Linked DNA regions of Neodiprion lecontei. The protein of the gene in region 1 binds, or shares a complex with, the protein of each later gene. Links are inferred from orthologs where the notes say so. Each region holds a gene or a part of one and is shown in the gene's direction. Other genes may lie near its edges. The genes, in order: zinc finger CCCH domain-containing protein 13, RNA-binding protein spenito and N6-adenosine-methyltransferase non-catalytic subunit.

Region 1 (11,636 bases):
TTTCAATTTGTCAAGAGTTCACTCTGAACCATTCTTGCATACTATTCACATTAAATCAGAAGAACAATATTGAATGTTTTGTATCTTCTTATTTAATCATCACTAAAAGTTGAGGCTACACTATCTCACAGAAGAAAAACTTTTCTAGGTAAAAAAAGTCAGACTACTATCTCGATACATGATTCCAAGTCATCTGAAAAAGGCCAAAGGGCCTACAAATATCGTGAAGAGTAAATTTTATATATTATTTTATTTTTGTTCGATTTTATTCTAAACGCATGCAGAAGGGTTGTACGAACAATTTTTTTTTTGTAGCTGCCATACAATCATCTTGAAAATGAATTTATTAATAGAATTAGGAGCACAGTATATAATGGTCTCTGAAGTCTGTATATTACAATAATAAATTGTGAATGTAAATTTTATTTACATAACTACTCAAAAATAATATTATAAAATGATTCCATCTTAATTTTCATGCACAGACTTAAGCTCTTTGATCTGCTTTATTAGATAAGCCTTTTCATCGTTAAACTGCTCGTCCTCTGAACGATCCGTGTGAAAACGTGTGAGGAATTCAATTAATTTTTCTTGATTGCGAAGCAGGATATCCAAAATTGGTTTGGGCTTGTTTGGATTGGCAACAAAAACCTGAAATCATTGGAGAAAGGCAATTGAATAAACGCACTCTTGTTTCATTGAAAATAAAATCACACTCAGGTGATTTTTCTACCTTAAAAACATGAAAAGCCTCAAATTGAATGTTACGTGACTTTTCCTTAAGCATATTCATCATCAGCTTTAAATTATCAGGATTTGAAATGTACCGAGTCATGACCTGTAACATATAAAATTATGTAGCAACAGATGTTATTTCACCATTTGATTGCTTAATCAAAACAACTTGCCGTGAAATTATGTCTATCCAGAAGGAGTTCTCCCAGTAATTTTAAACTCTGTCGACGTGTTACGTAGTTCTCAGAATTTAATAACCTTTGATAATGTGAGAAGACTTTGTCATAATTCACTTCTAAAAATTCAGCGCTAAGTATTTTATGTCTTGTTAACAATTCCTGAAACAATGAAACTCCTCAGAAAACTTTTTTTCTTTAACAATAATAAGATGTACATAGTAGAAACATATTGATTTAAATTAAATGCTCCAACTTTCTCAAGTTGAAAAAAAACCAGCACAAAATTTAGCTTTTTCTAACCCTTGGTGATGAAGTTTGAAAAATACAGTAGTTTATAGTAAAAAAATGAAATAATCATGTCACTGGGGTTTCTGTTATCATTCTTAATGGCAATCTATACTTTTTTCTAGCGTACCATATGGCATGTTTTTTACGTACATGAAAAGTTATTACATACCAAAACTCTGTAGCAATTGACAGTGAATGATTGGGTATTTCACAAAGAATTTATGAACATAATTTTCAAAGTTTCCCAGAGTGACAAAATTCTCTGACTATTGATGGTTTTTCCGATGTGTTGCCAAGATACTGTACCAACACATTAGTTTAAAAAATTACATATATATGTGTAACGACAACTACCTTAAATGTAGAAAAGGCATCTGATGCAATATCGAATGTCGAAACTTCGACATATCGAAAGAAATTATAAAAATCATCAGAATAAATCATTATTTTGGCCAATGCCTCATATCGAGCGCATTCCCTCAGCATCGTTCCACAATTTAATGCAATATCTTGATGCTCGTAGCTGAAAGTATAGGAATTCTCTGGTTAAGTTGATTGAATTTTGTTTGAAATTAAAAAACAAAACTGAGTATGATTTATATCTCACAACTTACCCAGACATAAGAGTGAATAATATTTCTGGCTTCGTACAAATATATTCAACTGTTGGCGATCGTGTGCCAATTTGCCTCCGTAAGATATTGTTGAATACCTGAGCCACATCTTTCTTCCCCTGAAGGAATCATACAAAATTATAACAACCTTTTCATATGCACTATTTTGTACTTTATCTCGTTGTGAAAGCAGAGGTTGATGAAGTCACCTCAAAATCAATCCGACTAAGATTCTGGACCAAGAGCAATAGCAGATTGCTGTTGTACAACTCCTGAGCTAGCTGAGCTACGACAATATCAGCTTGAGGCTCTGCTTCGGCGGTCCCATAAAGCATGTTTTTAATATGCACTAAATTTTTGCTGACATCCTCTTGAGCCTGGAAAGATGATTCATGTTTAAATACATAATAGGAATTCTTTTTGGCAGGAAACTGGCTACATGCTGCATACCTTCTCTACTTTCTTATCACCACGTTCCAGGGCATTAACGGCCTCTTTTAGAGCCTTTACAACCTCCGCCGGACTCTTTTGAGATTTTCCGAACAGAGGCATGATTTCTTAGAAGATGAAAACCTTGTGGAAAAATTCAAATTTCATACATTTAATTCATTGCACTGGTGAGCAAGGTATAAGTTGGAGTTTGAAGATGAGTAAAAAATATTAATTCAAGAACCAAAAAAGCAAGCCTGTGATTTAATGAAACATTGATTTGCTTAAACTAATTGTGACTAAGTATCCCTAGACTCCATAATTTTTCAGTATAGATTCAGAGATTGTAATGAATCGATTCATATAATGTTAGAGCTTGATAAAAATAGGAATGAATAGGAAAATTTAGATTGAAAAGCATGGGGCTAGCTTCAAAGTTTCAGAGTTGAAAAAAATTCGGAAAAAATCTAAACAGTGTTGAGTTGTACATTAAGATAACCTATCGCATAGAAATATAGTTATGTAACTTTGTATTTAAATTATTCAATAAGCTTACCATTCAATAAGTAGTTGAATCAATGTACGCAGTTGTTTCTTAGCACTTATAGCACAGATTTCCCTTTTAGCATTTCATTTATACGTAGAACGATACTGACGTATTTTGCGGTTATAAATAAGTTATTCGAAACCTGTCGAAAATTATATGTTTAAGAAACCTGACGTAGAACGACGTTCTCTATCAATTATTCAATGTGTTTTCAACTTTCCACAGTCTTTTTAATAAGTATTAATCTTTCTTAATCTTTTAATATATCGCATAACTCAAGATTGCCATTTATTACAAGCTCGACACTGACGACTGACATTGGGGGCTGTTAGGATTCACTATTGGTCATCCTTCTTATTACTGCTTGTTACTGACCGCTCCTATGTCCAATCAACTCGTAGATGTTATTTACGCTCCTTCAAACACGAATAATAGAAAATAGTAGAGATGGTAGAAATACTATAACTTCATGATGACTCTAGTGTGACGTTGTAGTCTGACGGTCGATCACGTAACTTTAATTTGGCGTGGCTTCTCTGTGAGCGTGTTAATACAGTAACGATCACACTGATATAAACACTTGAAACTCCATGGCGTTGGCTTAAGTTGACTGAAGACTGTTAAAGACGGTATACCCTAATGTGGTCTTATGTGCTTATCGGATTGCGTGTTAAACGGTTAGTGCCGATAAAGAAGCTACCGGATAACTATCCTGAACACGGCTTCTTATGGCCCAAGGCCCATTTACGCGCCGGTGTTGGTTACAAGAATTTGTCGAGGGGTTATCACTAATCACTAATCAGTAGGGGTAATCGTCTTTAAGCGTTCGGGAGTCTCTTTTCTTGCCAGGCTACCGGGTTTTTTCTTAATCTCCCGTTGAGGAAACTTCTGCATTCGGGGATGTGACATCACAGACATAACCTTTTCCAACTACCGAGAGATGGCCTCACTGCCATTATAAATGAAATAATTAATCCACGAGCTTAACACTCTTCATGGGGCTCGACCCTGCGATTTTAGATTAACTAATTTTGTATGGTGATTGTACCGGATCGTAGGTATCCATTGAGTTTGTTTTTGTGATAGAAGATAGCAAAGTGGGATTTTGCATACCGCAGTTATGTGCTTCCAGTATCAATTTAAAATCGTTTTATGGTGATAATATGTCAAAACCAAACATAAGAAAAATAACAGTTGACCCTTCGAAATGTAACACAGACTCTCGACGACCTAGCGTATTTGAGAGGTTGGGTACCAAACCACCAGCAACTTCCACCGGCCAAAACAATTCCGATTACTGTAGAAATTGGGCTCTGAATGGCAGTTGTTCGTACGGCAAAAGTTGCAAGTATGTTGATTATTTGCAACATGACAATTAGTGACCATATACAGCACCATAAATAATTGTCCTGAAATTCGATCTACCACTCTTTATCAGTAACACGTCGTTACAATTGTCAATATTTTTGTCAAATGTCATGAAACTTATTCATGATCTTCCAGTTAAAAATCAATTTCAAAGTCTTCTATGAAACAATTGGCACATTAACATTTATTTGTACTAGGTACGCAATCACGCACACACTGATCAGCCCATCAAAACGTGTGAAGAAAGATAATGCTCTTACTAGTGCAACTGTGGTAAGTGCCTTTGATTCAAAGTTGTCTTCTATATTTGCAAGTATTTCTAATTGAGAGATTTATCAAATTGAAATTCCTCCATCAGTTTCGATGATTATACTAACAAGTTTTTTTTCTATCCTTCAAGTGGTTTTGGAATTAATCCCAAGTATTTTTAAATATAATTAATAAATTGCGTTATGACGAATTACCTACCGTTGACTTTTACAATAGCCTAGCGAAGATCCATTCAAGCGAGTCACATCAAAAATTGTAAAAAAGACGTCTCATAGTCCTGATCTTAATTTGGAAGAGTGGAACCAGACAGATCTGGAATACGAAGACGAAAAAGCTTTAGAAAGAAGACTTCAGCTCTTACAAAGAGAATTAGAATTACAAATGAAGAAAGACAAGGAAATTCATGGCAAGGAAAAGACAACAAAACACAAAAAAAAAGCTATGAGTTCATCATCTAGTTCACACAGCTCTAGCACATCCAGCAGCAGCAGTAGCTCTAGTAGTGATGATTCCTCATCTAGCTCCACTTCGGATTCTCGCAAGAAAGTCAAGAAGGTCAAGTCTAAACGACATCACAGTGCATCTTCAGATTATGATGAAGATAAGGAACGAAAAAAGAAGTAAGTACAACATCTGGCATTTTAACTTGAGCTATATAATGTTTGTTATTTTTAATTTTTTCAACAGGCTTAAGCTTAAAAGACTGGGAACGAAGAATGAAAAACTTATCGTAAAAAAGAAACGCAAGATTGAAGTGTTGAGCAAAAAAGAACCAGTTGTAAAAGCAGCTAAGAAAGTTGCTATTTCTTCATCCAGAAAGCATTCTTCTACCAAGGTTAAATCACCAACCATGTCAGCACATGCTTCCTCCAGTAAAGTAAAGGAGCGAAACCGGAGTGAATCCCCAAAACCAAGGAGTAGGGAAGTGGAAAAAGATAAGCATCATAAAAAAATTAGAGAAGATGAGCCTTCATTGAAAGATATAGTGAAGAATAAGGCTACTGATAAATCAAAAGAGTCTGATAAAAATAAAAGTCGCATTGTGGAAGATCGTGTAAAAACTGATGAGAAATCAAAACAGAGAGTAAAAGATAAAGAAAGACGTTCTAGAACCCCACCTATTGAGAAATCTAAATACCAGTATCCTAAAGATTTTTCTAATACTAAATCGAGGCGCAGTCGAACTCCAGAGAAACCATTGAGGTCTAAACGAGAGGTAACTCCACTTCGTCACCAAGAGAGTAAAACATCTTCTGGAAGATCCAGAGAGATAGATAAAAAAGAACGTGACTCATACAAAGGAGATCGAAATAAAGACAAAGACGATATTCGTAAAAATGATCCATCCAAATCAAAGCCTTCGTCTAGCCAAGAAGACTCCCATCGTAAGAATGCGGTTCGAGACATCGAGGAGAAAAATTATGTCAGTGAACGCAATCGGCAGCGTAGCAAGGAACGTAGAGATAAGGAGCACAACTTAAGGGATGATAGAAGTCATTCAAGATTAGGCAGAGATCAGCGTGATTCTCAGCGAGAAAAAGAACGAGAAGAAGTACAGGAAAGGTGTCGAGATAGACAAAGAGAACGAGATCGTGAAAAAGATGCAGTTAAAGTTCGAGAAAGAGATATACCACCACTCATGGCAACAACTGCTATTAATCCTATGGATAAGAATGGTCGGTATGGTCGAGATAAGGATAGATTCAAAGATGGAGGGCTTGACAAAAGTGGACAGAGGGATAGACGGAGTGAGAGAGACCGAGAAAGGTCAGAAAAACCCTTAGATCGAGACAGAGCTTTACAACGATTTGATGCTCGCTATGACAGATCATTGGATAAAGAAATGCTGCCTCACAAAGGTGTGGAGAGAGATAGACAAGAGCGTTTTCCAAGAGAAAGATCTCTTGATCGAGTAGTTGACAAAAACATAGCTACAGGAGCTCGTGACCATGTTATGGAACGAGAAAATCTTTATGATCGGGACAGGCATAGAAGATTCAATCCTAGGTTTGACAGAGGGCATCCAGCCGATCATGAGCGCAAGGAGCCACCTCATATTCCATCAAAAATAGACAGACTACCGGAACGAAGAGATGGGTCCAGACGCAGCCTAGAAATAGAGAGAAACTACGATAGGGGCTATGCTCGATTGCCACCTGAGCATTGGGAAGAGCCTGAGGAACCTCCAAGAGTTGATTATCGAGATCACCACCCTCATGAAGATGAAAGACGTAAACCAATGGAACCAAGAAGGTACAACAGCCCTTTCGAAGAAAGACGAGGTAGAGATGAACGTCCATCACGCTATGCTATGCAGAGTGAAAGGCCTTTTGAGGATCCACATCTGCCCATATTTTCGGGTGAAAAAATGAGGTCTAGTGTAAACAGGTATAGACCATATACATATAAGATGAACTGTGCATGCAAACCTGAAGCCTGTGCAGCAAATATCAAAAAGCAGCAGTCTTTATATAAAAATGTGCTTAGTTAACCACACCTCTGGATAGTCATAATCACATTTTATCTTTCTCATACAGTAGCAGACACATTACTTCTATTGCTTGGATAGAAAGTGCGCAGTCCATTCTACATTTTAATGGTGTAGACTGATATTAGTTTACATAAAAATTGATTGTATCAGAACTGTCTGGTAGTGTACAGAACTTCATTTGAACTTTACAAATCTTCCAATAATTTTTTTAATCGTCATTTTTTTTTTTTTATAACAGAGACGAAAGTAGTAATGACAATTGGGATGTCCATCATGAGATGGAGCATGGTAGTCGAGACCGGAATTACCAAACTTCTGACTGGGAGGAACGTGAATGGAGAGCGGCTCGACCTCCGATGTGGGATAGAGAAAGTCCTCCACATTCAGAGGTTCATGAAGAAGAATGGGCTCCACGCTATGACAGCCCTATGCCTGATTGGAAGTTGAATGAAGGCCGAAAATGGGAAAGTTTGCCCCACAATCCACCCCACAATCCACCTCACAACCGAGGACACTACAGAAATGACAGAATCAAAGAAATAGACTTAGGAGAACTACATAGGTATTGATAATAATAATTAATATTTCGAAAAATTTAGAAGCATAATAGTACCATATTTTATATCAAAAGTTTGTGTTTCAAGCAAACGACGTCCACCCTATAGCACTCCGGAATTGAGAGATGAATGCTCTGCTCATGGGTCAAAACAAGGATCTTTACATGGCAGCATGAAGGAAGAACCGATAAATAAAAAATTGATGGAATTAGCGGAGGGTAGGGTCAGGAGGAGCAGAGAGAAATCTGTTGAAAATTTTCAGAAAAGAATTCCACAACGCGAAAAATCGGAAGTTAAAGAATCCCCTTTGGCTGCAGAACCTAAACGTCCATGCTTGGATGAATCTCTCCAAACTTTGCATACGGAGAGTGATTTGAGTGATATCAGCGATGATCCTGATGATATTTTGAATATGGAAGAAGAAGAAAGTGAGACACCAAAATTGCCCTTACCTAAAAAAGGTACAGAGATTAATGAACGAGACGTACTTGTACAAACTCCAGAAGCCTCACAGTTATCACCAAAAGAAATTGTAGAAGAGACTATATTTACCAAGGAAAAAGATACAAACGAACAAATGGAATTCCGAAATATCGAAGAAGAAAATATTGAGAATATGGACTTTGAAGAAATATCCGATGGAGAACTTGAGGAGGATATTAAGACAAGCGGCAAGGGCTTGGGAGATGCTTTGGGTGTAGATTGGGAAAGTTTAGTCAAAGAATCTCAGCCTCGTCGAGTTCTTACCATGAATCAAAATACTGCTCAAAGTCGCTGGCAATGTAAAGCTATATTCCAGCGCATTGGTATCTCTATGAAATATGCAGGGGCGGAAATGGTAGAATCCATAACAAAGAAGTACTGCATAGATGGTAAATCTATATTTTACATATTACTAGTGTTTACTATAATAGCTTCAATTACTTCTTAATTCCACGCTACTTTCAGATGCTGATAAATTTCTTCTGAATGACGTCGCCCTTCTACACACTGCAATCATGAGGCAGCAATTTATGACTCGGACATCAAGAACTTCATTAATCAGCGAAAATTTACTATGCAGGTAAATTGAGTACAAAAGAAAATAAAGATGCATATTTAGAGAACCGTTGGAAAAGATTACCCAGATTGGTGAAATTTTCGATTACATTTACATAATAGACTTGTCCATAATTAAGATGAAATAATATGATGTGTCATTAATTGATATTTGCCACGCAATTGTAATGAAAATTAATTTTGGTTATTTCAAATTACAGAAATTATGCTGAGGCAAATGAGGACGATGATGAAGAAACTCTGCAACCTTGCACGAGCTTATGTGAAGAAGCAAAGATATTATTACAAAAAGTTACATAGACATTTCTCATATGCATTGCAATTGTTAATATTTTTATCTTTGTATCATTGCTAAGCATAGTTACTTAGTACTTAGAATATATTAGGGAAAATTGTACGTATTCGTGGTCTTAATATATATAATTCTTTTGTGCGCCTTTTTGTATCGTGTAACTTATGAACGACTCGACCGATTGAGATCATATTCACACAAGACATTTGTATTGTCGAGACGATGGTTCATAGCTATGCAAAGATTGATTTTTTTCAACCGCGGGTCAGATTAGCTTCGGTTCTAGAATAGGTCATTAAATTTAAATGCGGGCGAAGCATGTGAATGTGAATTTAATATTCACAACTTCATAATTAATTTATATTTATTTTTTTGTCATACCAGAAACAAGAGACAACAAATCTTTGGGAGCAGTTAAGTCATTTTGTAATATCAATATCGCAGTCTCAAGCAGGTTCTTACTTTCTTCATTCACCTGAAACTACGTCACGTAAAAGAGTCAATATTCATGATAATTATTTGTTCACAGAAGTCTAAGAATTTTGTACCTGTGACTCAGACTTCTCAATATTAGTTTCTTCATTAAATTGGCGTTTGTTCAGCTCCATCAATGTACTATACAACTCATAAGAGATCAAGCCTAAAATGAGCAGTTATTGAATATTAATGTGGCCACAAAAAAAGATATGGAGAGACGACATTGCAAATATATGTTTCTTAAACTACCTTTCATCTTACATTCGCCACATTTTAAAGTCTCAATCAAGCGTAATAAATCCCTGCAGTATTTTTCCTTGATGCTGAGCTCATCCTTTGTCAAATCTGTAAATCAATTCGACAGAGATACACAACAACCTTCAAGTTTGCACAGTAATTGTATTTACCTTCCCACAAAAACTTCTCGGTTCTTCCAAGACAAGATATTATTCTGAGTTTCATATCAACTGCAACGTAATTTGTTGCAGGTACCAAGACCGACAGTTCACTTTTCATGAATCGCAACATCTGCTTAGGACTTTTGTATATCATCTCTTCAACTATACTTCCCAAAGCTGATCGAATTGAAATAATCTAAAAGAAAAAATCAAACGAAGTTTATAAGTACATACTTGTCTGTTTTACGTATGTAACATACTTGTCTGTTTTTCAGGCGTAATCCGCATTCTCTGCACTCCCACACTGTTGAAGTATCTAAAGGTTCAACAGCGACTAAAATTCCTGAACACTCCTTACGAGCACAACGCAATGCTCCAAGCAAAGATCCATTTTCCTAAGAAGTTATAGAAGATATTGTAATTTTATATAAGTATTTAAAATTATTTAGAGGCACATAGTCAAAATTTAAGTACTAGCGGATCAGTGCATCTACTGCATGTGCAGAAGAAATGTTTAGTGGCAGCTAAATGTCGTCTTCTTAACGTTGTATCCCAAAACAAATCTGTGTAAGTCATAGTTATCTCCTCGTTTTTCTTAATGGGAATAGCAGCTGTTACATATAATCTCTGTTGAGAATCGTAATAATGACGAGTATTGGGTGTACAACAATGATTCTGCAAAGCACCCATTGGGTATAAGCCTCGCAAGCTTGTGACAGACTCCCCAACTATTGCAGCTGTTTCAAACGAATTAGTATCCATTACTGCACACACTCGTCTCATGAACTGTTCCTCTATTTGATTCATTTGAATTTTTATACTGCTCTTTAAAAGATCTATCTGTGAAAATATAAATTCATACAATGACTTTCATATTTTTAATTTGACATACAGTGTCTTTTTTTCACTCAAGTGGTGACCTGACCTCTGAACCATGCTGAGGCCCGGAGTGCCACTGCAGAGTGTAAAGTAGATCTCGCTGTTGCTCGTCTAATAGAAGTGCTCTGATTGGAACTAGTGCTCTAAGTAAGTTAATAGACCAAGAAGAACCGCAAGTGGGTTTCCATGCTTGAAGGAGAGAGCATTCAGCATCGTGTTCAACTGAGAGTTCACAGGCAGAGGAGCAAATTGGAAGGCTGCATCCCTTGTCACAAGGAAACAGAGGACAACCGGTCTTATAGCACACGATGCAGAGCGGCAAATGCTTATCTCGTGTTCTAGGCCCAACTACCAGTGGGGCGTCCACAAAGACAAGCTCTCCAACTGCAATATCTGTTGTGGCAAAAAGTCCTCGTCCTCCTAACAGAGACCCCCCAACAAACCAACTCCTTGAGCCATCCTTTGAAAGATTATTTCTTTCCAAATGAAGGTTCAACATATCTGTGATCACTTGTTGTTCCATGGTCTGGTGCAAATTAATTTCTAATTTAGTATATTATTTCTGCATTAAAATGTAAACTCTCAGTAATACGAGATAATTTACATATTTATTATGAGTCTAGTGAAGAGTATCAACATGTACCATATTACCTAATTACGTTAGCTAGTAAAATCTAAACACTTGTTCACTTTTACTTTGGTAACATATTACTTACATTTGTGGCTAGTCATCAGTTAGAAATTTCGTTCAGCTAGTGTACTGTTCACATTGAAGGGAGTATAAATTGCACTGCACCAATGCCTCCTGTAGTATGTTTAAAAATAGGACATTCGATTCCAAAATAAATTGGCCTGAATGATCGTGGAGTAATAATTAAAAATTATCGCGACCATCTTACAGAATTCTGATGTTTGTAGATTATTTCTTTTTACTGGAATTCATATTAAATATTCAATTATTAGTGAAGTAACTATTTAATATACATACTATTATTGTTATGTTTATATATGTATTACATATATGTTCAACATAATGGATTAGAAACTCGTTAA
Region 2 (10,991 bases), on another chromosome or scaffold:
CGCAGACGGCTGTTTTTATATTATTCGGAATCCAATCGACGAAATACGAGCTGTTCTTATTCTGTATATTTGTCATTTGTTGATCGACTTCCTTCATCGACATTCTTCCACGGAAGATAGCCGCCACTGTAAGATATCTACCGTGGCGAGGATCGCAAGCTGCCATCATGTTCTTCGCGTCGAACATCTTTCATGTGATCGTAAAATGTATCGAAGGTTGAGTATAGTAAAATTGTAAACATTTATAGCTGGCTGCATCCTTGATTAGCATTGTATGATTTGCCTATGATTCAAATGGAGATCTCCTCACCTGCTGCGTTAACTCAGGCACGGAGAGAGCTTGGTATTGTTGACTGTTTCGCGCAACCAACGGAGCAAATCCTGGAACGAAGAAGTGCAGCCTGGGAAACGGTACCATGTTAACAGCCAGCTTTCGAAGATCAGCATTCAACTGTCCCGGAAATCTCAGACTGGTGGTAATTCCTACAAACATGTGCAAATCTTTGTATTGTACATATCGAACGATGGTTCTAAAGACACAGTGAACCCCATTATTCGTCAATGCTGTAATTATTGTACCCTCAGCTGCCACAATATATCTTACGCACCAGACATCGTTAGGGACACAAGGTGGTTCAGGTCACAGTAGGTGGGCGACGGTAATTTCAGCGTCCTGAAGCAAATATCGTACAGTGCTTCGTTATCAATGCAGAATGTTTCATCCGTATTTTCAACGAGCTGGTGAACGGATAAAGTGGCATTGTATGGCTCGACTACGGTGTCCGACACTTTTGGACTTGGTACTACGCTGAAGGACGTCATGATCCTGTTGAACAAAGTGCCGTAAAATTGTGTCTAAAAATATCAATGTCCGCAGCGGTATATTTGACGAGAAAATTCGATCATTTTTAGATACGTATAACATACCTGTCGGGAAAGTCTTCGCGGACCTTCGACATTATGAGGGTCCCCATTCCGGACCCGGTTCCTCCCCCCAAGGAATGACACAGTTGAAAGCCTTGAAGGCTGTCGCATCCTTCAGCTTCCTGCATATCAAGGTAATTTTCTGTATTACGATCATCACCCGCTGGACTATTGTTCGGACAATAATTTTCCTACCTTTCTTAGGACGTCTAGAACCGAGTCAACCAGCTCCGCCCCTTCTGTGTAGTGACCCTTAGCCCAGTTGTTACCGGCACCACTTTGCCCGAAGACAAAGTTGTCTGGCCGAAAAATTTTACCAAATTCACCCGACCGCACTGAGTCCATGGTTCCAGGTTCCAGGTCGACTTGAATCGACCTGGGAACATATGTGCTTTTTGCAGCTTCGTTGTAGTACACACTAATCCTATCCAATTGATCTCTCGCGTTACCAACATACTTTCCTGTCTGATCTATTCCGTGCTCGTTCGAAATCATGTGCCAAAACTACACAAAGTTTGGAAAAAAGTAAAAATAATGTATATGCTGCATATATCTCAAAAGTCTCATCACCTTTTTTTGGAATCTTACCGAGGTGCGAATCTTATATGTAACGCGTATCAGCCATTTTGTCCTACGAAATTTGATCTGAGACTAAATTTTTCGCACGATCCTTATATAATTCATCTTATCAAAATAGTAAAAAACCCTTAGAATTAGAGAGACTTACTCGTGCACCGATTTGATTGCCACACTGGCCCACCTGGACGTGAACAATTTCTCTCATCTTGATTCAATTTGGCGATGATACTTCGAATGACTTTCGTTATCAACTGATGCCAGACTGAATTGAAACCGTCACGAAAGTTGATTTTTTGCCACTGCAAGACGCCTGCTGTCATTATTGGTCACTTACCTCTCGTATACCTAATACAGGGCCGTCTAATAATTATTTCGATCAACGTGAATAGGGTTCCTCATAATTGTTACGTGACTCAAATTTTCAATCAATTGCTCAATGTTGTACATCGCATTGCTTTAAATTTTTAGGCTTGAATCAAAAGAATTTGTCTATCCGATAATTCTTTGTTCATCGGGAAGAACGGGACAAAATACCCAGAGCCTAGAAACGTATAATAGGCCGTCCCTGTAGCGTCGATTATATCTGCTCGAAAGGTCATCGTTATTGAAACCAATCAAAACATTGGGCAGTGAGCAGAATTGGGTAATACCATAATACACCTATAGGTATGTAGATACACAAAACTATGAACGCTACCACTGTAATATCAGATATAAAAGGTCTTGTTACCGAGTAGTTGGTGTTATTTCTCTAGGGCCATGAATTTTCAAATAATTCTGTATTCGTACAGATCTGAATGTTCGATTCAAACTTCAGGCACCTATGAGATGTGTGGATAATTTTTTCTTTTTTTTTTCTTTTGGTTTGAACGAGTTACATAGTCACACGTTATACGATCGGCGATTCAAAAAGCCTCCCAAAAATAGGGGCATTTCTTGCGAGTATGAGGATACGGTAAAGTATCATTTGTCCCTCGGTTCAGAAAAATTCGTGCGAACCCCAAACTGGGCAATTGTTCAGTTATTTCTAAATGACATTTTTTTGCAGGTGCTGTAATAATTCTGAAGTAAGTAAGCACATTGGGCTCATCTTCATCCAAGTAATGATTCTTCATTTATTTTCAACTGAAGCAGTACCGTAGTCTTATTTTTGAAAATGCGTGGTAGCGCCGAAAACGCCTGGGTACTTCTGTAGGCTGCAACCAGTCTAACAGGTATTTACCAAGGATTCATTTAATGTTAGTCAATGCTAATTGTAATTCTACCTTACCGACATCTTAACAATTCCGTAGAAGATCGTTCATCCGCAGACTTAGATTTTCAAATGGTATCATGGTGATAAAATTACCCATTACCAAAAACATTTTAGATCATAAACTTTTAGAATTCATAAAATGGTATCGAATTGTTACCGATGCAGTACAACTATACTCCTTAGTAATCTTACGCCAGCAAGGCCAGTAACCAGTAAGGCGTCGGCCGACGAACGGCTACGCGTTGACAAGTAGATCAGAATTATTAGCGATATTTACAAAGATTGTTAAAGCAACAAAGAGCGGGAAATAAAATTTCAAGTTTTAAAATAGTCATGAAAAAATAATTAAGCGTTAACGTGTCACGCTTATATCTAAAAACATAGCGTAAACAAACGGAAGCGGCAAGTAGCGGTGCTCCAAACTAGCCGACATTCATTGTGCCGTCGCTAAAGGGGGGAGAGGAAGACGCGACAAGGCACGGTCAGGAGACGAATGATCACCGCCATTTTGCTGTGCGTCTGTTGAGTGGAGTGCGTTTAGTTGACGCGGATAATTTTATTAATTATTTGTCAGTTATTTACGGTTTTCTGCAGCGTTGATGATTGGGATTCCGCGCGACGACCGCCACAAAATAACGGTTAAAATCCGAAATAATATGAAACGGAGCTCGAGTCGGGACACTCCACCGCCCCGTGTCAAGCGATCCAGATCCTCCATGGGAAGGTATGCCAAATGCTGTTCCACCTCAGGGTATCATAAATTCCAAACTCTTTTTACACTCTTCGTCAGTTGCTACGTTTTACTGAATTTCAATTCGGTCCGACGACCCTAGTTTACTTCTTACGCACGACGAAGTCGCTGGTTTGCCTGTTTTTAAATTCTTAGTATCGAGCTTCTACCCAATATGATTCGCAACTATCCCTGGAATCAACACTTCTGTTCATTGCTCTGAAATCCTTACCAACATTTTATTGCCCTAATCTCACGGTAATGTGGCATAAATCCGGTATTTACTGCTTGTTGACCACAGTATTTATGGTCAATATAACCTCCACTTGCGGTCTGCTGATGTGAAGCATCGGTTTTTTTTTCTTAGACGAGTAAGAGTATAATCTCATGCGCTGTTTTCAACCTCGTATGAATTCCCGATATGTGATTAGTTTCGTAATTTTTTGATAATTAAAATATTCTCGTTCTTTCTAAACTATTTTTCTTTACTTGTTTGACAAGAAATGTTGCCCATTTTTTCAGATACGATGATTCGAGCGATGAGAGGATTACACCGGAACGAATCAGACGGCGCTCTAGAGGGGCTCGGAGTCCGAGTCCTCCCAGAGCATCCTCTCATGCCAGATACGTTGAGTCCAGTTCTCACAGGGACGAGTATATGCGAGCACCCAGAGAGATACCGCCTGAGCGTCCGTACAGCTACAAGGTCCTCTGCGTGAGTTCGATACATCCAAAAGCAAGCGACGAAGTAATAAAAGATACCCTTTACCGGGAGTATAAGAAATTTGGTGACTTTTCCATACGAATCTCTCATGAATTGGACGAGCGAGTTGCTTATGTTTGCTTCAGAAGTTCCGAGGATGCGAGAGACGCGAAACATGCAAAACCAAGAATTATTTTATACGACAAGCTTGCCTTGGTTGAACCTGTTTATGAAAGACCCGAATCTTACCGACGACCCAGATCCATCACTCCCCCAGATTACGAACGTTACTATGCCAGGTCACCTGGGCCCACAGAGAGGCACAGACCGATTGAACGATACGAACGAGTTTACGGACCACCAGTTGGAGTTCCACCTCACAGGGAGCTCAGAAGAGAAACAATTCCACCTCCTCATCACGAATTTGTTCGTCCACCACTACACCATGGACCACCACATGTTCACCCTGGTCCTCCGCATCATTATGGACCACCCAGACACATGATGATTCGTCATCCTGTTCACGGTTTTGAGAGAATTGAAAATAAGAAAGACAAGTTTCCAAACTATTTGCATCATGTTTCACCTGAGGATGATCCACTGGCGACTCGAACCTTGTTTGCCGGTAATTTGGAGATAAATATTACCGAGGAAGAGCTGAGAAGAATCTTTAGCAAGTATGGAATCGTCGATGACATCGATATCAAGAGACCCCCACCGGGTACTGGAAATGCTTATGCCTTTGTCAGGTTCCAGACTTTGGATATGGCACATAGATGCAAAGTTGAATTATCTGGCCAGTACATTGGTAAATTTCAGTGTAAAATTGGGTATGGTAAAGCTACCCCAACGACTCGTATCTGGGTTGGCGGTTTGGGGCCATGGACATCCGTGCCTCAGCTGGAGAGAGAGTTTGATCGTTTTGGGGCAATTAAAAAGATTGATTACATCAAGGGAGATAGCAATGCATACATTTTATATGATTCCATCGACGCAGCCCAAGCTGCTGTGAAAGAAATGAGAGGATTTCCGCTTGGGGGACCAGATAGGAGACTGAGGGTTGATTTTGCTGATGTTACTCCCGGGTTTGGGTTCAAACCTAGACCGTACCCAGAAGACGCAGCTGAGTTTCGACCAAGACCAGTGGAATATGAATCTCCGTACGATCCTTATGCTCCTGAAGGTGAATTTGCTTATGCTCCAAGGGGATTCAGGGGTCGTGGAAGTGCCCCATGGCACGATAGACGAGGAGGAGGCAGAGGGGGATACCGTGGAACTGCTTATCCTGAGGGATATGTGAGAGAAGAATCTGATTGGCCAAGCCGCCGGCCACCACCTGAGCTCGAATATGAATCACCAAGGGGCTTGAGGCGCTCATTGTCTCGGGAACCAGGTGTAGATCGATCCAGATCACGTTCTCCGCGGAGAAGACCTGTGGATTCAGATTCCGATTCTGAAACAGCTAGAACAGGGATGCTGTCTACGTCACGAACTCTTCCTGAAGTTGCACGAAAGTCTATAGCGGTTTGGCAAGGCGCTTTGATATTAAAAAATTCTTTATTTCCAGCTAAATTTCACCTTACAGATGGAGATACAGAGATAATTGATGCGCTGATGAAGGATGAAGATGGGAAACATATGCTGAGAATAACGCAGCGTCTTCGTTTAGACCAACCAAAATTAGATGACGTTTCTAAACGCATACAAACATCCAGTTCACATGCTATATTTTTAGGTCTTGCCGGATCTAGCGCTACCATCACGAACGATGACGCAAACGTGCAAACTCGACCTCTAAGAAACTTAGTGTCATATCTCAAGCAGAAAGAAGCTGCGGGAGTAATATCTCTGTTGAATAAAGACACAGAAGGAACCGGAGTCTTGTATGCCTTCCCGCCGTGCGCCTTTTCGACCGAACTTTTGAAAAGAACTTGTCCCAGCCTTAGCGAGGAGGGTTTGAAAGAGGATCACTTAGTTATCGTTGTGGTGAAAGGCGGCAGTGCCTAAGTTACGCTTACTCATAAGGTTTATTAAAGGTAAACGTGCTGAATACTACAATACTATTACATTACTCGGTCAAAAATTTGGCTGATTTCCTCAATTTCTGGTTGAATTTTAAGGAAAGTAACTAATTACGATTAACGTACAGATGGTCTATACACAGAGTATTTAGCAGATCAGTGTTTCTAGATTGTCTCAAATTAATCACACTATATTACATCTGATTGTGCACATCTTTTTTTTTTTCCCCGAAACAAAGCTCTTGCAGAATTATTTGATTTTAATTATTCAACTAATGAGTAACAAAATCTGGAACTTGTATAGCTTCATTTTTCAGAAGCCCAAAATTTATCGGTTCATTTTTAGAATCAGCCAAATTGTAAAAATTGACGAAACCACGTCCAAGGGGGTATGCAATAGCCAAATACCAGGACATAATAATATGTTGATATCAAGTGACTGCTGTGGTCAGAAGAATTGAAAGTTCTGACAAGGCTGTTAGAAGAAGTACATGTATTAAGCATGGAAATAATAACTTATGGTTACGAAATGTTAGATATAGCTTCACGAGGTAAGCGCTCTGATAACAAAACAGTACATTGAAAAGTTGCAAAGTTCTTCCGAAGATTGATTTAAAAATGGAATACTTATTTTTATGAAGATGAAACATTATTTTAGTAATGTTCTGCATAACTTTTTTTTTCTCTTAATCCGAGTCATAAACGTTGGACCGTTATGGCATATGATATAATGGTGAATCATAATCTATTACATAACTTAATTGTAGTGAACCTATTCTAATTAGTATACATACTCAGTTAATTATCATGTACACAGTTCTTTCACATTTGTGATTGTACGAATTTTGCTGCAGTGCATAAACGTCTTAGGATTTATATATACACGCGTATATATAAATATAAATATATACATATACTTATGAAGGGATGCAAATTACATTAATTGATGAAAATTTTTTAAAGTAAGGTGTCTGCAAACTGAGAAATAATGGCAAAAGTATTTCTTACCTCACGCATTAATATACTTTTTTCTTTATCGCGATTTCTGTAAATAATGATCATTGTTATTCTTATACAAAATGCGAAAGGACTGGTCAACAACTAACTACTAGTTTATTGTTAAATTTACAGAATATCAAACGGTCACATCGTATAATGAAAATATTAAATTCAGTTAATTTACTTTTATATGATTTAGATTTTAGATGCATAAGATTTAAGTGTTTGTGCTATAAATTATCTGTGAAAATGATATTGAATTTCGTTAACATGGACAGTGATTGAGTGGCCGTGGGGAAAAATGAACAGCAAAATCTCTTCTAAAACCCTAAAAAAAAACTTCGTCTAATGCCGCGAGAATCATTGGCAACATGTTAAGAAATCTGTGAACTTTACCATAAAGGACTGTGTTTGGTGGTATTAAAAAAAGAAACTACAGAAATCTCCAATTGTGTACAGTGATGTAAAACAGTGCTTGTGTTCTCGCCTCCGAGGGTGTTATCATGAAGGTATGAAAATAACATCGATCTTGAAATCGAACCCTCAGAACATCTGAGATATGAGAAAGTCCAAATCGCACTCGGAGGCGAACTAAGGTGCGGTGGTAAAGTGTATCTGGTGTTGAAAAGAAAAGAAATGAAATGAAAAAATAGAGCCGATTGCAGACAAAACTATTGATTGTGTTTAATTTCTTAGATATGTCAAAAAAAAATATGCCCACCCATCAAGTTCAAGTTGAAATGAGTTTAGTTCAATTAGTGGTTGAAAATTATCAATAGCTGAGTTACGTCTGTGATTGTTTGTTCATAAACAAAAAATCAAGTTTGCGAAAGAAAGAAAGAAGGAAATGGAAGTTTCGAGTTATGCTAGGATATTCAAAGTTTTAAAACAGAGTTCGCCAAAATTAACAAACTATTCGGTTGATAAAACAATGCATGCTTGTGCTTAGAGAAGAACATAGTTGTTCTTTGGTCGTTTTTTTATCTCCATTTTTTTCTGTCGGCTTTTCTTTGATTTTAGTTCAGTGGTCGTGAAGTTGGTGTTGTGGTTTGTTATTCGACAATGTTTTAATACGCTGATCGATCTCAATCTCATGACAGATGGAAAAAGAAAATACGAGTTTTGTCAAAAACAAAAAGAAACTAATGATCTCAGTGTAACCAGTGGCTTGTGCCAGTTTATTTCTTGTTCTAAACAAAGTAGTTGCGAAATATTGGTTCTGAGTCATCATATTGCAAATCCAGAGAGATAATTGTGCTTTAGTGATCATGTGGCTTGTGATTAATTTGTCTAAGTTTTTGTTTATTTTTTTTTTTCCATCATTTACATTAAAATAAAAAAGTTTCTATTGGTAAAGAAGAAAATATTATAAACTGGCTTTTCGAAGATCGTTGCTAATTTCATAGTTTTGGAACTCTGGGTGCTAAGTTCTCCAAGTAAAAAGTTTTCGACACTGCTCTCCAAGTACCCAAGTTATCAATATAGTGAAAGAAATCATATTGTTTAAAATTTACGCTTTCTTCCTTACTCATCTTTGAGGAAAATGAAACTGTAAAAAGGAAAGACTAAAGGAGAGAGAAAAAGATTGACTATTGTTAGTTCGTCGTATTGACACGATTGTTGTTAAGGCTGGAAGTTCAGTGCACAACTTCCTCAAAATAAAACGAAAGTCCAGAAAATTTGCATGTTGCACTAGTGAAGTGAGTTTAGTGGTTCTCTAGTTCAATAGCAAGTTGGTGAGGTGTTCTCTTTTTCAGATTTTTGACCGCTTTCCAGGTATTCTGGCCTTAATATCTTTCAGAGGCAGAAATCATCGCATGATTTTCAATTCCACATAAAAATAAAAAAAAATAAGATTGAAGTGAGACCAGAAATTTTAATAGTGCTGGATCGTAGAAGTATTATGGTTTTTGCCTCTCAGAGATACTTAAGGATCTTGTTCCTCAACCACATACTGATCGTAGCTTAATAATGGTTCAGCCAGATTTTTTGGATTGTACGGTAAGTTGGGTCGCCGGGAGATATTTTTTTATGTTCCAGATTTCTAAACAATGCTGCCAAATCCAGCGGACTTAGATGTCATCAGAAGCTTTTAATGAATGCTCGAACTACAAATGAAGATTGATGTTGTATGATCTACAATCTTTGCATAAATAAAGCATTTTTTGATGTACATAAACAAAAATACCCACTAATCCTGTTATCGTTATTCAGAAAAAGCTAACATAAAAGGACGCACCTACAAGTTTAACATGTTTACACTATCAGCTATACTATGATTGTAAACATTTCTTATAATAGTTCAGCGATTTTTTACACTCATGACGCAAACCCATTTCTCGAGTTTCTGTTTTTAATTCTGTACAAAGATCTGAAATAGAAACGTGATTTTTTATATACAAACATAAAAGTGTGAAAGAACGTGTTCAATTGTTCAATTTTCGGTAACTAATGTTCTGTGCTGTCATAGAATATGCCATCAAATCGGTTGTAAAAATCGACGGTACCGAACGTTCTATTTGGCTCGTAGAAAAAAAAATGAATACGTTCACATCTAACGGAAATTGACAATTTGAACAATCGTTCGATGTGTCGAATTTCGCTGATAGTTTTTTTTGCTTGAAAATCCTGCGTCATGATTAAATAAATGTGATTGCGCGATTATTTACAATGACTTACCAAAATGACGATTTTTTCCCGAAATTTAGATTTTTGGAATTTTGCATGATTTTATACCTTTAGTACCGACTGATGTCAGTCGTTGATTGGAGAATATATGTCAGTCCTCCGTGAAAGCCGTTACTACAGGCAAAGTCGTCGGTACTCTGCATTAAAGTCGACTAAACGTATCGTTGACTGAAGAATTATCATCGCCGATACTCGTCACATCAAGGCGTGTTTCACTGAGAAAATAATGACACCATGATTAAAATATTTCATGATTAGTTACGTTTTCTAAGATTTCATATAATTTCGTTTTCTCATGACTACCAATCATTACAAAGTAGAATTTTATTTTAATATTGCTGATTTCAGTGTGATTTCGGAGAGTATGAAATCATTTCGAACGATATTAGTACCATGATTACTTGAGTAGAAGACCCCTTACGTGGCATTGCAAGTTAATCATTGTACAGTTTTGCAAATTGATTTTAATGAGGTGAGACATTTTTTACGTGTTGAATACGAAAAATATAGTAATTTCCATTAAAAATCTCCCGAATAGTGCTGAGTCGTGTTTTAAATATAAAGTCTGACGTCAATCTGCCGATCAACTACCCTTACCGACCGGAAATACGCTTTACGCCGTTCTTTGAGTTTAATTTGTTTGAAAGCACAGGAAACGATGGAGCGTTGGAGGCATCGTTTCATCAGAGCCTAGAAGAGATTTCTCTCTGGAAGAGATCCAAAACCAGAGAACCGAAAATGATTAGTTCGTTATATGGCAGATAGACGGGGTTGCGTGGTAAGCGCTGCAACACGTCACCAGTGTGTTCGAGTCTTGAGACATTGCTTGAATTTTTTTTAAATGTACGCACAGAAATGTCAAACGACTGAAGGATAAATGTGTTCCCATATGTGAATAACAGATCAAATTATACCGATGTATTTTGAAACGGATGTTTAATGCTCGCAGCGGAAGTATGGACATCACTGTAACCTAACTTTTACCGATCTTCAAGTATCACAGGTGAATAGCATTTTCATACATATTTCTATGAAATACTTACTATAGAAATCATTCGCATGATACCTTAACATGAATATTAATCGCATTAT
Region 3 (8,580 bases), on another chromosome or scaffold:
GGAGAGGTGGGCGGCGAACGCCGGATCGAATGACTCGCGTCGCGCAACGTGGTTCCTCTTGCCGGCGATTCTGGCTCTTATCGTTGTTCAACCTTTAAACGAGAGGCCGTTTACTTGGAAAACAAATCAATGATTACCATGGGTTAACATTGATTGAGAGTGATTTCTATCGACTTTTACCCTAAGGGCAATTTCGCTTAGAGATCCGGTAACGATTAGCGATTGGTATACGTTTCAATGATTTCACGTGATTCCTAACAATTTCACTCGACTTCATGCGATTCCAACCGATTTCAGGTATAATTTTAAACAACTTAAGGTGATATCAAACGATTTCTGGTTGAAAACTAAAGGCTAATTTTCAACGATTTCTTATAAATCGCTTCGTGTAAAGTGGTTTACGATCTCAAGTAGTGACTATTTCCTATTGCTTCTACCTAATTTGCCTTTTATTTTCAATGACTTACGAGCGCTCTAGACAATTTTCAATAGAGCTACGACAAATCACTGGTCATTACCGTTATGTTTACACATATAACGCTGGGAAACCATTGGAAATCACTTAACGGTAAACCATGACAATAAACGGATGGTACAGTATCATAAAGACGGAAATCAGTAAAATTTTAATGAATGGAAACAGTTTGACGTCTACCCCGAGACTTACTGTATACATCGATTTCCAATGTTACCCCTCGTTTCCAATTATTTCTGAGCTTTCTGGACGATTTTTAGCGATTTGCGCATTGAATCAGTTCAAATGGAATCACAAGAAATTACCGAAAATCACCTAGTCGTTGGGAGCTCATTGGAAATCAATGAAACTTAAGGAAAGCACATTTATGAGATAAAAATCAGCAAGTATAAGAATGTTATTGAAATGAAACCGCTTCGCCTTCATCGCAAGACTTGCATCGATTTCCATATGATTTCCAACGCTTGCTTTTCGTTTCTTCAGCGCTATCCGCATGTGATTCCACACCAGGAGTCGCAATGATGTTCAATGACTTTGAGTCAATTTTTACGCCTCTCTATGTGAAAGGATATTTCAGTTATGTGACAGCGGTGAGAAGCAAGGTGATTCATTTCTCACCTTTGATCAACGATACGACGTTTAACAATTCAATACACTCGTTATCTATCAACCGATATACAACCTACCGCGCGGCGTAACAACACTTTTTACGTTTCCGGTTTCCGGCCGGCCACCCGAATTATATTCGTAGGCACAAAAGAACCTGGAAATATTTCTCAATTTTTCGTACACGAATTACGAAAAATATCTTTATACCGTTTAAGGAAATTGCCGGTGAAGCGAAATTCAATACCTCTGTAATAGTTGACTTGATTACAAGATAGTCAAACATTGAGAATTCACCAAATTTCTATATATTTGTAGGATATAGTGATGTTCGTTAAGCAATTCAAGAAAAACAAATTGTCGTTAGACATCAATTGTTCATTTCAAATCAGATTAGGTTAGTTAAACATCTAATAGCTTCGTTTGATTTCGCTCCACGTCTGGGCTTATTTTCGTAGAAAAACTTATACATTTCACAGATTCACTGAAACGCTTCTTGTTTTGTCAAAAGTAAATTCAATGTTGTTCGTTGTTTTTTTTTTTTGTCCATCAAAACCAGTATCAATGCAATCTTATGAAATTGAATATCGACCTATACCAACATGACAAGTCAAAGTGTCTCAAGCACGTTCGTGGAATTGTAGAGAAGGGTCATTTCAACACAAAATAAGCCATCGTGGAATGAAATCGAACGAAGCCGTCAGATTTCTTCTTCGCAGTAACGTTACTAACTTCATGCTCATGAGTAATTACGCTTTCGGTACCAGGATGGTGTTCCAGTCGGTATTTACCTCTTCTACCATATACCTTGTGAATTATTCTTATACTACACAAGGAAGAATTCGGGTTGGAATGAGTAACCGGGTCTTTTAAATAAAAACACGGCAGTTGCGCTGGCAAACTAGCAACGGACAACAACTTGCCGAGGCATAAAAACCCTCACGGAGTAGAGGGGAAAAGCCCGAGCAAGCCAATGAAAGATAGTGAACTTGTTCAACAAATCAAGTAAAATCCAAGTACGTGAAATGACGCACAAACCACTGCAAGCCGGAGGCTTAATTTCCAACTTATGTTAAGATGTCACAATGAGAATGATCATTCGCTTAGCTAAAACAATTAAGAGAGCTCTCTTACCTACAGGATGGGACAGCCCTCGGGATGTCGTAGCAATGTACGTCAATTGGAGAGGAATGTAAACGTCTTGGAACAAGTCGCGGCAGGTGCGCGTCGGAATAACCGGGACCTCCACGAAACCAGTTAACAGAATTTGCAAATTCACAACACTAGAATGACAACACTGAGAAATCACCAGACTTGATATCTCTCCGTTCGCAAGAACCGTCCACTCCGATATCTTTATACCGTCTGGCCTGAGTCGAATGCTTTCCAAGTCCTGACCGTAGGCCACCCTTCTCCACACCGGTGCAAGGGAAGGCAACTCAGGCCTTTTCCGGAAGGTCCCAAATCCAGACGCTTTCTGTCTGGGTTCCGTTACTTTCAAATAATTTTACAATTGTCCTTATTGTCCAAATTGACACCGTCTGGGAATGTAAGGACTAAGCTTTATTAGACCCGTCGCGGTCAGTTTCAGACCCCTGCGGCCTTCTCCAAACCTGCCGATCGAACCATGGGGACCTCCATGCCACCATATCGAGCGCGCGAATATGCGATTATAAGACTCATAAGTAAGAAACGCAAGTGAAATGAAATGGACGAATGCAATAAAGCTAATTAAGAGGCGAAATCCCTTTGCTCTACACTTTACAACGTGGAAGCGCACTAGGCGCGACGACCTTGAGCGTGCGGGCGTTCGGTAGCGGTGAATTTTAAGGAGAAAATATCGAATGATTCAATTTCAGATGACAAGCAGTATACGTTATATACATAAATATCAAAAAATTGCGATTTATTTTAAAATTTATGGGAATATATAAGAAACTTCGCAGTCATTACATTTATACCACTAATTTAGACAGTCAAAGTATAAGGACGAACAGTATAAACTAAATCCACTTCGAAAATGATATTTCCGCAATTATGGAAATAACAGTTTGAAATGCATACATACATACTTATATCGCACATCACATTACTGTTTATGACAGTCATCTTCCGCCCTGAAAGAAATACTAGAGGACGCCAATTATAATGCACTTACAATTAACTACTTTTCCTGCAACCATGCTTATTATAAAAGAGCGGCTTACCGTTTTTGAAGAGGTACGACATAGCCGCGCAGCATTTCGTCCCATAAAACGTATTCATTCATTTTACATCACATGTGTCGAGGTCCGACGAATTAATAAGCGCCCGTCACAACAAGACTTGATGTTATTTTTTCACTCTACTCGCCTAAACACATAATGAATTTGCGACTAGCGCTTTATTTATTATTACACTCGCGAGTTTGAATTGCACCGGAAGTAATTGCATTCTCACGATTCACCGCGGCGTTTGATAAATTACGCAATTCATTCGGAGGTCGACAGTTCCGAATGTAAAGAGCAGACGAAGGAGCGAACTACGGACAACGGATCGCTGCACCCCGCATCAAACTATATATGAAACTGAATTTACTGAACCCCCCGATGCAGTTCTGAGATCCAATATATGTCATGCATTCTTGGAAATTAATCTAGTTCCGCTCTCCGGTAGGCTCCGCCACTTGGCAGCACAACAGATTGCTTGTCAGCTTACGTATGGGTGTATTTTCGGCCACCTGCTACATGTCGACAATTTCGTGCCTCTGTTCAGTTTTACTTTAGACAATATTTAAAATAACAAGGAGTTTATAATGTTGCAGACACTTCGAGAGCGCTCTAAAAAGCGAAAGAAATTATTGGCTCAAACGGTGAGGACACACTTCTCGCTGATCAGTCAGTCTAAAATCGTGTTTCTGATTTTGAGGTTATGTCTGATGTAAACACGTTATAATTTGTAATATTTATGTTATTTTCAGCTTGGGGTTTCGAGCGTGGATGAGCTTAGACAAGTTTTGGGTACAGACATCAATGATGCACAAAGGAAACGTGAAAAAATGTCATCTGTCAAGTCGGATGACGACCTTAGAGAACAGAAGGATGACACAGTGTCAACCAACGAAATAGTCTATAAAGATTCTTCTACGTTTCTTAAAGTATGCAACCTCTTAATACTATCAGTTTTTTTTCCAGTGTTAGTAATTGAATAATGTTTAAACAAAAAAAAAAAAAAAGCAACCCTCTTTGTGTACTTTTAGGAAAACGCTCAGAAATTTGTAGTAAACTATATTTCACCCACTCTTGCATAACTTTTGTATTAGGTGTAAAATCAGTTGTAACTTGGATTCACATTCATACCAAATGATACCCTTTTCTTCAATCAGGGAACACAATCCTCAAATCCCCACAATGACTACTGCCAACACTTTATCGACACTGGACAACGCCCTCAGAATTTTATACGAGATGTAGGATTGGCGGATCGATTTGAAGAATATCCAAAGTTGCGAGAGCTTATTAAACTTAAGGATGACCTAATTTCAGACACTGCAACTCCCCCCATGTACCTGAAAACCGATCTCCTTGCTTACAATCTGAAAGAACTAAATTGTAAATTTGACGTTATTCTCATTGAGCCACCTCTTGAAGAATATCAAAGGACATGTGGAGCCACAAATGTACAACTTTGGAATTGGGATCAGGTTAGGCATGGTCGGTAATGAATTTTTAGTAAACCTGGTCAACGCACCTTTAACTAAGAGTCATAATAATTTTTTTCCAGATCATGGAGCTCGACATAGGCGAAGTAGCGGCAAGTCGTAGTTTTGTATTCCTCTGGTGTGGTAGTAGCGATGGATTAGACATGGGTAGATTTTGTTTGAGAAAGTGGGGCTTCAGAAGATGTGAAGACATTTGTTGGATACGTACGAATATAAATAATCCTGGACACAGTAAAAATTTAGATACTAAAGCAGTTTTGCAGAGAACAAAAGAGCATTGCTTAATGGGAATTAAAGGGACTGTACGAAGATCTACAGATGGTGATTTTATTCATGCAAACGTAGATATTGATCTGATTATATCTGAGGAACCTGAGTACGGATCTATCGAGAAACCTGTTGAAATTTTCCACATTATTGAACATTTCTGCCTAGGCAGAAGACGGTAAGTACCATGCAATTTCCAAAGATCTTCGTTAAACCCAAATCTCACTTCTTGTTGCTAGCAAATGAGATTATTATATCTTCCCTACTATTTCTTTAACAGATTGCATTTATTTGGGCGTGACAGTACGATCAGGCCAGGCTGGCTTACAGTGGGACCAGAATTGACTAATACGAATTTTAACACTGATCTGTACACTAGCTATTTTGCAACTAGCCAGATCACAACTGGATGTACCGAAAGAATAGAAGCACTCAGACCCAAATCTCCACCACCGAAAGGAAAAGTCTCTGGCAGAGGGAGGGGTGGTTTCAATCGAGGTCGGGGGAGAGGCAGATAATCTGTAATTCCTAATAGATTACAAGTTTTTAACGATTATCGACTTGAACGCACAAAAATATCTCATGCCGAATACAAAAGAACAATTTTTTATCAATTAACCTATTTATGACAACATGCTACATCAACTGATAGTGATGCTGCTCAATAGTATTCTTTCTTGTTAGTTGTTTACAAATGCATACTGTACGTTTCTGAATCAATAAAGTGAATTTGAACCTCTCATATTGGATAATTGTTTTTTTTTTGTTCTTTAGTAAGTAGGTATAATTGCATTACACAACCAAATTCTGTTTAACAGGGTTTGAAATATCTAAAAATGTGTATCAAGTTAACGGTATTAATCATCGTGAATTCAATATCCGGCTGTTGCAATAGCTGTACTTTGCTCTGTCTGCTTGGACTCAGCAAAACACTGTCGTTACTTCATGTTCTTAAGAATTTGTCATTGTCATCGACTGGTCATAATACTAATAAAATGACTGGAGAAAATGCATGGTTAAAAGCCTACATCTTTTACCATTCCAAAATTGCTGTATTGATTACGAACTAAAAAGAATAAAGTATTTTCTTGAAATCATAAGTCTGAAAATTATTGATCAAATTCGTTTATTTAAATGCGGAGTTAAAAATTAAAATATAAAATTCTCTCATGTTAGATCATAAATATAACGCTAGAGATGCAAGACGCCAATAGAAACATAAGGATGAACACAGAAGAATAAAATAGATTCCAATGACGTAAACCACCGATAGCTCGATGCTGAACAAAAACTCATCTCCAAGTTATGTTTACGAGATATAACCGGCAAACATATGTATAAATATGCTTTTCCTAATACTTCCACCGGTATCGTGCACCTTCACACTAAACTTGTATGTTATTCAAGTATGTTCTGCAAATGTGCATCGACTGCTCTCTACACCATTGCAGGAACATTACCACTAATGTGTTAATCTACGAAGGGAAAATGAATAAGTTATTTTCTGAACACAGAAAAAAATTATATTATGTGTCTAACAGCGTTTAAACACATATGATAGTCTGGATGGTATTGCACCTTCCTAGAATTATCTATGTGTAGCTGTGTTGGCAATACAGCCAATATTGGCCTCGAATATTCTGCTTACACAGAAATAATTTATAGATTAAGAAAAACAAACTACATATTTGTATTCCTTCGGGAAAGAAGAAATTTTTATTTTTTAGTCTATGTGAGATCAAGTCAACTTGTTTGTACTCTATAGGTTGAATTGAACAATACGGTAATATGAAAATAGGTAATTCATAATAAGTATAAATACTTGATTCACAGCTCTCATCTGTTATTAATATGGATTTACAAACGAGTACTTTGGGAAGAATCTGACAATATGTATCACGAATTACTTTCAATGCAATAGAGATGATCGGTATTTTGAGACTATGTATCTTGATTCTGTCAAAGTTCTGAACTCCTGCAATTCGTCTGATAAATTCCACTAATGAGTAAATTCACAATAACACATAATTCATCAGTATTTAACGTAGCTAAATTACATTGAGACAATTTTTTAAACAAATCGAGTGCAACAAATTATTATCATAGATCGAATTAATTATTAATGTTATAACTGAGTTCAGGTATTTTCTATTCGATGAGGTAACGTTTTCATGTTTCAGTAAAATTACAGAACAATTCTGCGAACCAAACCTCGATAATTTGTTGTAACATAGTTGTGAAGTAAGGCAAAACTTATCCCAAGTGGCATTCGTTCGCGTAAACAATTTCAGCAACATTTTGGCTTACTTCATCAGTGAGTAAAAAGTATATTAAACACTACATATACTAGATTTAATTATTAATCTATCGGTTGACACAATAAAAGAGACGTCATTATTTAAAAAAAAATGAAAAATTATGTAATCAAATATCAATTCGAAGCACACTGTTTCACGTATCATATTATGAAAAAGCAGCGCAATTGTGCATATTTCACTGCAGGTATATTTTATAAAATGGTCCATTCTACTAACAAAACGTGAAGGATTCATAGAAAAACCTGCGCAAAAATCAAGATTGGTATAAAAATATACGACGAGTTTATATAACTATGCTGTACAGTGTATAATAGAATTCTAAGAGATGTCTTCAAAAAGATACAATTGTAACTTAGCTTACTTTAACTTAAATTAATTGTATATGCTAATTGAATTTTTCTAAATACACACAATTGCGCAATTGCAGCTTGAATGAAAGAAATTTATAACTCGATGTCACGTAATTAATCGACGTGACGATTTTGTGCTACTTGTTTATTACATGTAAGGACTGAACTGGGGGAGCTGTAATTATGTAGCCGTCGTTCATGACTCGACTTGGCAAAAAATAAAATCTGTCAAGCCTGAATATTGCAAGAAAGTAACACCTAATTTTACTATAACACCCTTGCACAGACGATAATCAACTGTTAACAATAACACTTTAAAGCATGATCATTTCATATTTGCATTGCGCCACTGGAAACATATCACATGGCCATGAATGTTTATCCTAATCAGATACAATAAAATTCATTAAAATCGTCGTAATTGTGAGCAGTCTAATAAGAGCCTATGAAGAACAACATTTGTTTATGTGAAAATAGTTCCCGTACCGAATATAAACGATTCCTATCAAAATCGGATATAAGAATAGAATGGGTAAATTTTAAATTCGAGAACGTGACAAATATGGCTTCAAATATTTTTTAAACTTGAATCCAATACCTATTACTTTTTAATAATGTGAAAAACTATTAATCACGAAGTGAAATTTTGTAACATTTTTGACGTGATCTTTGAACTTCTAGCAACAAGTTTCCTAAAGGCTGTTACATATTATTACGACATTATGTAACTTATGAAGCAGTAACCTAAGTATTATAGATCACTTCGACGATTTGTGCCTTTATTTTTATAAATAAATAAATAATATCGCTCTTAGGAGCCACTAGTTGTTTATAACTCGGAAAGCGATATCCCTAGTTTGCTGT

Evidence for each region.
Region 2: zinc finger CCCH domain-containing protein 13 (region 1) and RNA-binding protein spenito share a complex: the UniProt entries of both Drosophila melanogaster proteins name them as parts of the WMM complex. The link is inferred for Neodiprion lecontei from reciprocal best matches to the Drosophila melanogaster genes Flacc and nito.
Region 3: zinc finger CCCH domain-containing protein 13 (region 1) and N6-adenosine-methyltransferase non-catalytic subunit share a complex: the UniProt entries of both Drosophila melanogaster proteins name them as parts of the WMM complex. The link is inferred for Neodiprion lecontei from reciprocal best matches to the Drosophila melanogaster genes Flacc and Mettl14.

The regions. Positions count from the first base shown.
Region 1 is NC_060261.1:34,039,880-34,051,515, forward strand, and holds zinc finger CCCH domain-containing protein 13, read left to right. Parts: upstream 1-3,588; 5' UTR 3,589-3,955; coding exon 3,956-4,140; intron 4,141-4,357; coding exon 4,358-4,433; intron 4,434-4,646; coding exon 4,647-5,050; intron 5,051-5,117; coding exon 5,118-6,818; intron 6,819-7,159; coding exon 7,160-7,483; intron 7,484-7,565; coding exon 7,566-8,350; intron 8,351-8,426; coding exon 8,427-8,541; intron 8,542-8,737; coding exon 8,738-8,837; 3' UTR 8,838-9,193; coding exon of another isoform or gene 9,194-9,310; 3' UTR 9,311-9,377; coding exon of another isoform or gene 9,378-9,469; 3' UTR 9,470-9,555; coding exon of another isoform or gene 9,556-9,651; 3' UTR 9,652-9,683; downstream 9,684-11,636. Other genes in the region: protein Mo25, read right to left, coding at 469-651, 734-838, 909-1,073, 1,557-1,725, 1,817-1,935, 2,026-2,193, 2,267-2,368; SET domain-containing protein SmydA-8-like, read right to left, coding at 9,194-9,310, 9,378-9,469, 9,556-9,651, 9,714-9,900, 9,965-10,099, 10,179-10,544, 10,630-11,106. UniProt on the Drosophila melanogaster protein: Associated component of the WMM complex, a complex that mediates N6-methyladenosine (m6A) methylation of mRNAs, a modification that plays a role in the efficiency of mRNA splicing and is required for sex determination.
Region 2 is NC_060260.1:35,833,393-35,844,383, forward strand, and holds RNA-binding protein spenito, read left to right. Parts: upstream 1-2,981; 5' UTR 2,982-3,357; coding exon 3,358-3,482; intron 3,483-4,010; coding exon 4,011-6,198; 3' UTR 6,199-7,839; downstream 7,840-10,991. Other genes in the region: tubulin beta chain, read right to left, coding at 1-187, 311-483, 609-826, 928-1,046, 1,120-1,428, 1,652-1,708. UniProt on the Drosophila melanogaster protein: RNA-binding protein that acts as an associated component of the WMM complex, a complex that mediates N6-methyladenosine (m6A) methylation of mRNAs. M6a modification plays a role in the efficiency of mRNA splicing and is required for sex determination.
Region 3 is NC_060260.1:28,912,260-28,920,839, reverse strand, and holds N6-adenosine-methyltransferase non-catalytic subunit, read left to right. Parts: upstream 1-3,735; 5' UTR 3,736-3,875; coding exon 3,876-3,932; intron 3,933-4,040; coding exon 4,041-4,217; intron 4,218-4,445; coding exon 4,446-4,763; intron 4,764-4,843; coding exon 4,844-5,226; intron 5,227-5,328; coding exon 5,329-5,566; 3' UTR 5,567-5,790; downstream 5,791-8,580. Other genes in the region: protein bicaudal C, read right to left, coding at 3,289-3,333. UniProt on the Drosophila melanogaster protein: Non-catalytic component of the WMM complex, a complex that mediates N6-methyladenosine (m6A) methylation of mRNAs, a modification that plays a role in the efficiency of mRNA splicing and is required for sex determination.